2 linked regions of the Xenopus tropicalis genome follow. The protein of the gene in region 1 interacts with the protein of each later gene in a pairwise test. Links are inferred from orthologs where the notes say so. Each region holds a gene or a part of one and is shown on either strand. Other genes may lie near its edges. The genes, in order: mocos and parva.

Region 1 (4,351 bases):
AACTAAAAACCTTTTTTTAAAAAATGCAAATATATGCTAACCTGTATACAAATTATGCTGCATGTGAATGCCAAAAGAAGAATATCCACAGCTGATGCCTGCTTTGCTTCCTGTGCCTCTGAACTTGGTCTGAGTGCACTGGAAGACTCATCATTCATGATGCACTAGGAACTGGAACCAACACCAACCGTGCAGCTAAAACTAGAATAGCACTGCTCACCATTGTGCAGACTATATAGTGTCTTGTAAGGAGGAGTGTCTTTCTCTCTGGCTGCTGTTGTCTCAGGCGTCACACCATTGAGCCTGGAGGCATAAGGCCCCAGTAAAGAGAACCATCTTTATATTAAGTCGGGGACAGGGCCCCGTGAACGAGAGAAAGCCAGCACAGTCAGTTCTATGTAATAGCACCCTCTAGAAGTGGTGAGCACAGTTAGCCTATTTAGAAAGGGCAGTTATTAGCCCCATCAAAGAGTTTGTAAAAGGGTTTAGCCTACCCCGGCTCTGTTGTCTTTCTGAAGGGACCGGTTTAGACGCAGGATTCAGGCAGGTGCTGTGCCCCTGGACCATAGTCGGCTGGAAACATTCCCTACTCTAAAGGTCTTCATCTCAGGTATCCAACTAATACTCTGCACAGTCTCCAAGTGGGTTATACTGTTCCTTGAGTGTCACATCTGCTACTCTCCATTGTGACCAATTCACAGATGGGGCCACTTAGCGGAGGCCCACCCCTGTGTATTAAGGTCGCATGTAACACATGCTCTATACCTATTACTAGTCTGGGTTTTGCCATATCCTAGCCAAACAAGTGTTACATACTGCTTACCCTATGCTGCTTGTGTGTGCCATACTCTGCTTGCCCTGTGCTGCTTGTGGGAGTTGAATCTGGCAGGGAATTTTTCTGGGAGTTTGTTATCATTTGGAAATAGTCATTAAATTATCCCTAAGGTGTGTAAGTATGTGCTAGGGGAGCTGTGCTATCCACAAGTGAAGGCTTATGGATTTAAGGGTATGTCTTAATATGACATAATAAACTTCTTTCACGTATAAATGAAGGGTGATATCCCTGCAGTGAGAACTAACCATTTGGGATTTTGCTGTGCTTACCACCGTTAATGTGGGTATAGTGTTAAAAGCTCTTGTGATAACAAGGGTGTGGTTTAAGTGGGCACAGTTTAAAAAAGGGGTGTGGTCAAAACTGGCTTCCATTATCGTCCCTCCAGTATGTAGGCCAGAAAAATCCCAGCCCTTGGTACCATACAAGTTGGACAGCACTGCCATAAAAGAGAAAGTATTTTGAGCAAAGAAAGCCATTTACACAAGTACCTGATCCTACCAAATAGCAAGGACAGGAAAAAAGAGTGGAGTGGGGAAGAGGGTGTATACACAAGCAGTTATGAAATGTAATTGCTGGTGTTTTTTTGGAACCTGTCCTATTAGAGTTGGGGTGGGAATACAAATCCTTAGTGTGATATTTCCCATAGTCACCAGGGAAAGTAAAATAAGGCTGACAGGAGAAGGCTCCTCCCACTAAGGAGTGGCTTCCGTTTCTGGGTCATTACTATGCTGACACTTTTGCTACTTTTTAACAGAGCTACGCTTGAAGCTGGCTATGAATGTGAATCTCAGTATTTCAGGCATGTCTCTGGACGAGCTGCTGTCTGCAAAGCACTTTCAGACTTTCTGCAGGAGCCCTTCCGACTATGGCTATGGGAACACTATAGAGGATATGAGAAGAAAGGAATTCAGCAGAATTGGAGGTATGTTCGATAGGTGTTAACTTGCAGCAAACTCATGAACATATGAATACAGCTGATGTGTTATGTTCCAGGGGAAGTATACCACAGCAGAGATCCTTTATGGTAAGTAGGAGTTGCACTTTGTGTGTCATGCATAAACTGGGTACATATTATATAGCTATCCCATGCACTCAAAAAGAAATCCACAGCACTTGACAACACGCACACGCGAAACAAATACTTTTAAACTGTTTATTGATAGCTTCCTTTTTGGGAGATGTGAGCAGCTGAAAAGCGTGTGTAACTTGTGTCACATGACAGACAGGGCCTTATGAAACAGAACAAGCAAAGTAGGAAGCATGGAAAGAATACGCAGCGTTCCTGGAGTGGGCGTGGCTTCTCAACACAGCTGTGTGTATCTGTAACCTGTTAGTGCAGGAGAAACCCATAAACGTTCAAATATGCTTTTGACTTCAGTTTAAAGAATGCGTCATATTTATTTAGATTTTTTTTATTTTTTTTATAACTGTAATGGATTTTGTTTATCTTTAAATAGAATGCATATTAATGGGAATAATTTTTCAAGTGTTGCTAGGTGTTTAGTGGAAATAGTAAAGGTCATTTTAGACATCTTTTACCTTTTAACTGCTAACTTTTCAGTTATATAGTTAATAAGTGACCACATCCCTGCTTTACTGGTTATGTAAACATGTGTGGACAAGGACAAGTGTTGGGATAAAACTATGTTCTTTTGCATAAATTGGTACCCAACTGCACGCAAGAAAATAGGTTGAGCTGAAATTGTACATTTCCGTAATGCGGGACATTCGTGTAACTATCCCGACAGTGGGACGCGCTGGCTGTAGTCAGGCGTTCAGTTCCTCTTCTTCAGCGTCTCCTCTATATGCGGCTCCTTGTTCGGCGGAGCCAGGCCTTTTATAAGGTTGCGCCCGTGCGTATTGACGTCAGACGCACGCACGGGCGCAACCTTATAAAAGGGCCTGGCTCTGCCGAACAAGGAGCCGCATATAGAGGAGATGCTGAAGAAGAAGCTTCGGCAGCAGAATGTATGGAGGCACTGTGTGGGGGGGTGCTAATGTGTATGGGGGGCACTGTGTGGGGGGGGCTACTGTGTATAGGGGGGCTACTCTGTATGGGGGGCACCTGTGTATAGGGGGCACCTGTGTATGGGGGGCTACTCTGTATGGGGGGGGCACCTGTGTATGGGGGGACTACTCTGTATGGGGGGCACCTGTGTGTGGGAGGGGCTACTCTGTATGGGGGGCACCTGTGTATGGGGGGCTACTCTGTATGGGGGGCACCTGTGTATGGGGGGGCTACTCTGTATGGGGGGCACCTGTGTATGGGGGGGGCTACTCTGTATGGGGGGCACCTGTGTATGGGGGGGGCTACTCTGTATGGGGGGCACCTGTGTATGGGGGGGCTACTCTGTATGGGGGGCACCTGTGTATGGGGGGGCTACTCTGTATGGGGGGCACCTGTGTATGGGGGGGCTACTCTGTATGGGGGGCACCTGTGTATGGGGGGGGCACCTGTGTATGGGGGGCTACTCTGTATGGGGGGCACCTGTGTATGGGGGGGCTACTCTGTATGGGGGGCACCTGTGTATGGGGGGGGCTACTCTGTATGGGGGGCACCTGTGTATGGGGGGGGCTACTCTGTATGGGGGGCACCTGTGTATGGGGGGCTACTCTGTATGGGGGGCTACTCTGTATGGGGGGCTACTCTGTATGGGGGGCACCTGTGTATGGGGGGGCTACTGTGTATGGGGGGCTACTCTGTATGGGGGGGCTACTCTGTATGGGGGGCACCTGTGTATGGGGGGGGCTACTCTGTATGGGGGGCACCTGTGTATGGGGGGCTACTCTGTATGGGGGGCACCTGTGTATGGGGGGCTACTCTGTATGGGGGGCTACTCTGTATGGGGGGCTACTCTGTATGGGGGGCACCTGTGTATGGGGGGGCTACTGTGTATGGGGGGCTACTCTGTATGGGGGGCACCTGTGTATGGGGGGGCTACTGTGTATGGGGGGCACCTGTGTATGGGGGGGCTACTGTGTATGGGGGGCACCTGTGTATGGGGGGGCTACTCTGTATGGGGGGCACCTGTGTATGGGGGGGCACCTGTGTATGGGGGGGGCTACTCTGTATGGGGGGCACCTGTGTATGGGGGGGCTACTCTGTATGGGGGGCACCTGTGTATGGGGGGGCTACTCTGTATGGGGGGCTACTCTGTATGGGGGGCACCTGTGTATGGGGGGGGCTACTCTGTATGGGGGGGCACCTGTGTATGGGGGTGCTAATGTGTGGGGGGGCACCTGTGTATGGGGGGCAAAACTGGTACATAGTTATAACTCACTTATAACTGACTGCCTTCTCCCTATATTTTATATGTAGGAGTTGCTGTATTGTTTTCCTTAGGTAGTACAGTATGAGGGTATAGCACATTTGCGTCTGATCCCGCCATTTCATCTATATAAAAGGAGTATTTTTTTTAAAAATGGGGTGTGGTAATTGGGGCGTGGCCACAAAAGTGGGCGTGGTCAAAAAATTTGCCGCGCTGCGCGCGCACCAAATCTTTTTGTCCCTCTCTT
Region 2 (4,324 bases), on another chromosome or scaffold:
TAAGGATATTAGCAGTCACTAAGGGGTTCTGTGCCCCCCATATAAAGGCACAAGGCTGCAGGCTGAGTTATACAGGGAACTCTGAGTATCACTCATGTATTATAAGGGATAATGTACCCCCTACTGTAAATGATAAGGATATTAGCAGTCACTGAGGGGTTCTGTGCCCATATAAAGGCACAAGGCAGAAGGATGAGTACTTATATACAGGTCATGGAACCTGTTTATACAATATATATTTTCATTTTATACTGTACTGTCCAAAGGAACATAATGTATAATGTATAAATACAAATATACAGAGAAGGAATGTTCTGGGCACACAATAAGCTGTACCCCCATACTGTACTGTCTAAGGGAAACACTATGGCACCCCCTACCCATATGTATAAATACAAATATACAGAGAAGGAATGTTCTGGGCACACAATAAGCTGTACCCCCATACTGTACTGTCTAAGGGAAACACTATGGCACCTCCTACCCATATGTATAAATACAAATATACAGAGAAGGAATGTTCTGGGCACACAATAAACTGTACCCCCATACCCAGGGGGCAGCAGGCAGGGAACAGGGGGTAACAGGCAGGGAACAGGGGGGCAAAGGGGGTAACAGGCAGGGCACAGGGGGTAACAGGCAGGGCACAGGGGGTATAAGGCAGGGCACAGGGGGTATAAGGCAGGGCACAGGGGGTAACAGGCAGGGAACAGGGGGGCACAGGGGGTAACAGGCAGGGCAGCAGGGGGGCACAGGGGGTAACAGGCAGGGCACAGGGGTAACAGGCAGGGCACAGGGGGTAACAGGCAGGGCACAGGGGTAACAGGCAGGGCACAGGGGGTAACAGGCAGGGCCACAGGGGTAACAGCAGGGCAAGGGGAAGGCAGGGCCAGGGGTACAGGCAGGGCTCAGGGGTAACAGGCAGGGCACAGGGGGTAACAGGCAGGGCACAGGGGTAACAGGCAGGGCACAGGGGTAACAGGCAGGGCACAGGGGTAACAGGCAGGGCACAGGGGTAACAGGCCAGGGCGTACAGGGGTAACAGGCAGGGCTCAGGGGTAACAGGCAGGGCACAGGGGGTAACAGGCAGGGCAGCAGGGGGTAACAGGCAGGGCACAGGGGGTAACAGGCAGGGCACAGGGGTAACAGGGGGAACAGGCAGGGAACAGGGGGTAACAGGCAGGGAACAGGGGGTAATAGGCAGGGCACAGGGGTAACAGGCAGGGCACAGGGGTAACAGGCAGGGCACAGGGGGGCACAGGGGTAACAGGCAGGGCACAGGGGTAACAGGCAGGGCACAGGGGGTAACAGGCAGGGCACAGGGGGCACAGGGTAACAGGCAGGGCACAGGGGTAACAGGCAGGGCACAGGGGGTAACAGGCAGGGCACAGGGGGTAACAGGCAGGGCCAGGGTACAGGCAGGGCACAGGGGGTAACAGGCAGGGCACAGGGGTAACAGGCAGGGCACAGGGGGTAACAGGCAGGGCAGCAGGGGTAAAGGCAGGGCCAGGGGGGCACAGGGGTAACAGGCAGGGCACAGGGGGGCACAGGGGTAACAGGCAGGGCACAGGGGTAACAGGCAGGGCACAGGGGGTAACAGGCAGGGCACAGGGGTAACAGGCAGGGCACAGGGGTAACAGGCAGGGCACAGGGGGTAACAGGCAGGGCACAGGGGGGACAGGGGTAACAGGCAAAGCACAGGGGTAACAGGCAGGGCACAGGGGTAAACAGCAGGGCACAGGGGTAACAGGCAGGGCACAGGGGTAACAGGCAGGGCACAGGGTAACAGGCAGGGCACAGGGGTAACAGGCAGGGCACAGGGGTAACAGGCAGGGCACAGGGGTAACAGGCAGGGCACAGGGGGTAACAGGGGTAACAGGCAGGTAACAGGCAGGCACAGGGGTAACAGGCAGGGCACAGGGGTAACAGGCAGGGCACAGGGGGGCACAGGGGTAACAGGCAGGGCCACAGGGGTAACAGGCAGGGCACAGGGGTAACAGGCAGGGCACAGGGGGGCACAGGGGTAACAGGCAGGGCACAGGGGTAACAGGCAGGGCACAGGGGTAACAGGCAGGGCACAGGGGGTAACAGGCAGGGCACAGGGGTCAACAGGCAGGGCACAGGGGTAACAGCAGGGCACAGGGGTAAACAGCAGGGCACAGGGGTAACAGGCAGGGCACAGGGGGTAACAGGCAGGGCACAGGGGGTAACAGGCAGGGCACAGGGGGTACAGGCAGGGCACAGGGGTAACAGGCAGGCCACAGGGGTAACAGGCAGGGCACAGGGGGTAACAGGCAGGGCACAGGGGGTAACAGGCAGGGCACAGGGGGTAACAGGCAGGGCACAGGGGGTAACAGGCAGGGCACAGGGGGTAACAGGCAGGGCACAGGGTAAACAGGCAGGGCACAGGGGGTAACAGGCAGGGCACAGGGGGTAACAGGCAGGGCACAGGGGTAACAGGCAGGGCACAGGGGTAACAGGCAGGGCACAGGGGTAACAGGCAGGGCACAGGGGTAACACCACACTGTATATAGGGTATTTCAGGCCCAGATGCAGATCCCGGGCAGGAATAGGCAGGACGGGCGGGTGGGTCGGTGCCTAAAGCTCTGGGGACACAGTCCGGCCCCGCGGTACATTGGGCCGATATATTGGGCCCCCGGGGGCCCCCATACTGTGTGGGCGGAGCTACAGAGAGCGCTAAGGAATGCAGCGCAGAACGTGTTGCCCCGGGGGTGCCCCCACCCACTGCCCCAATAGCCCCACCCAGTCACTTACCCTCTTTGGCCTTCTTTCTCCGGGCCAGGGTGCCCCCCAACTTGCCCAGGAACGAGTCATCTTTCTTCCGGGAGGGGGGAGACTTCGGGGTGGGGGATTTCGGGCTGGAAGGAGACTTTTGGGGGGACGTTGCCATGGCTGGGAGAGGCGCAGAGCGGCACAGCGGGGCGGGGCGGGGAGAGGCGCAGAGCGGCACAGCGGGGCGGGGCGGGGGCGTCACAGCGGGGCGGGGCGGGGGGGGGGCGTCACAGCAGGGCGGGGCTGGGATGTCACAGCGGGGCGGGGCTGGGCCTGGGGCGCAACCGGAATCCTCTCAGGCGGGATCCGCCCCTCTGTCTGCTCCCGGCACCTCTCCTGGCACAGTTACCCCAGCCTCACTCAGTTACCCCAGCCTCACTCAGTTACCCCAGCCTCACTCAGTTACCCCAGCCTCACTCAGTTACCCCAGCCTCACTCAGTTACCCCAGCCTCACTCAGTTACCCCAGCCTCACTCAGTTACCCCAGCCTCACTCAGTTACCCCAGCCTCACTCAGTTACCCCAGCCTCACTCAGTTACCCCAGCCTTACCCAGTTACCCCAGCCTCACTCAGTTACCCCAGCCTCACTCAGTTATCCCAGCCTTACCCAGTTACCCCAGCCTCACTCAGTTACCCCAGCCTCACTCAGTTATCCCAGCCTTACCCAGTTACCCCAGCCTCACTCAGTTACCCCAGCCTCACTCAGTTATAAATTTTCCCCCCAGCCTTACCCAGTTACCCCAGCCTCACTCAGTTACCCCAGCCTCACTCAGTTACCCCAGCCTCACTCAGTTACCCCAGCCTCACTCAGTTACCCCAGCCTCACTCAGTTACCCCAGCCTTACCCAGTTACCCCAGCCTCACTCAGTTACCCCAGCCTCACTCAGTTATCCCAGCCTTACCCAGTTACCCCAGCCTCACTCAGTTACCCCAGCCTCACTCAGTTACCAGCCTCACCCAGTTACCCAGCCTCACTCAGTTACCCAGGCCCACTCAGTTACCCCAGCCTCACTCAGTTACCCCAGCCTCACTCAGTTACCCCAGCCTCACTCAGTTACCCCAGCCTCACTCAGTTATCCCAGCCTTACCCAGTTACCCCAGCCTCACTCAGTTACCCCAGCCTCACTCAGTTATCCCAGCCTTACCCAGTTACCCCACCTCACTCAGTTACCCCAGCCTCACTCAGTTACCCCAGCCTCACTCAGTTACCCCAGCCTCACTCATACCCCAGCCTCACTCAGTTACCCCAGCCTCACTCAGTTATCCCAGCCTTACCCAGTTACCCCAGCCTCACTCAGTTACCCCAGCCTCACTCAGTTATCCCAGCCTTACCCAGTTACCCCAGCCTCACTCAGTTACCCCAGCCTCACTCAGTTACCCCAGCCTCACTCAGTTATCCCAGCCTTACCCAGTTACCCCAGCCTCACTCAGTTACCCCAGCCTCACTCAGTTATCCCAGCCTTACCCAGTTACCCCAGCCTCACTCAGTTACCCCAGCCTTACCCAGTTACCCCAGCCTTACCCACTTACC

Evidence for each region.
Region 2: the proteins of mocos (region 1) and parva interact in binary tests that used the Homo sapiens proteins (3 or more experiments, as listed by UniProt). The two-hybrid records come from large-scale screens. The link is inferred for Xenopus tropicalis from reciprocal best matches to the Homo sapiens genes MOCOS and PARVA.

What each region holds. Positions count from the first base shown.
Region 1 is NC_030682.2:74,579,642-74,583,992, forward strand, and holds the start of mocos (molybdenum cofactor sulfurase), read left to right. Parts: upstream 1-1,522; 5' UTR 1,523-1,609; coding exon 1,610-1,757; intron 1,758-4,351. UniProt on the Homo sapiens protein: Sulfurates the molybdenum cofactor. Sulfation of molybdenum is essential for xanthine dehydrogenase (XDH) and aldehyde oxidase (ADO) enzymes in which molybdenum cofactor is liganded by 1 oxygen and 1 sulfur atom in active form.
Region 2 is NC_030680.2:6,440,738-6,445,061, reverse strand, and holds the start of parva (alpha-parvin), read right to left. Parts: upstream 2,972-4,324; 5' UTR 2,912-2,971; coding exon 2,776-2,911; intron 1-2,775. UniProt on the Homo sapiens protein: Plays a role in sarcomere organization and in smooth muscle cell contraction. Required for normal development of the embryonic cardiovascular system, and for normal septation of the heart outflow tract.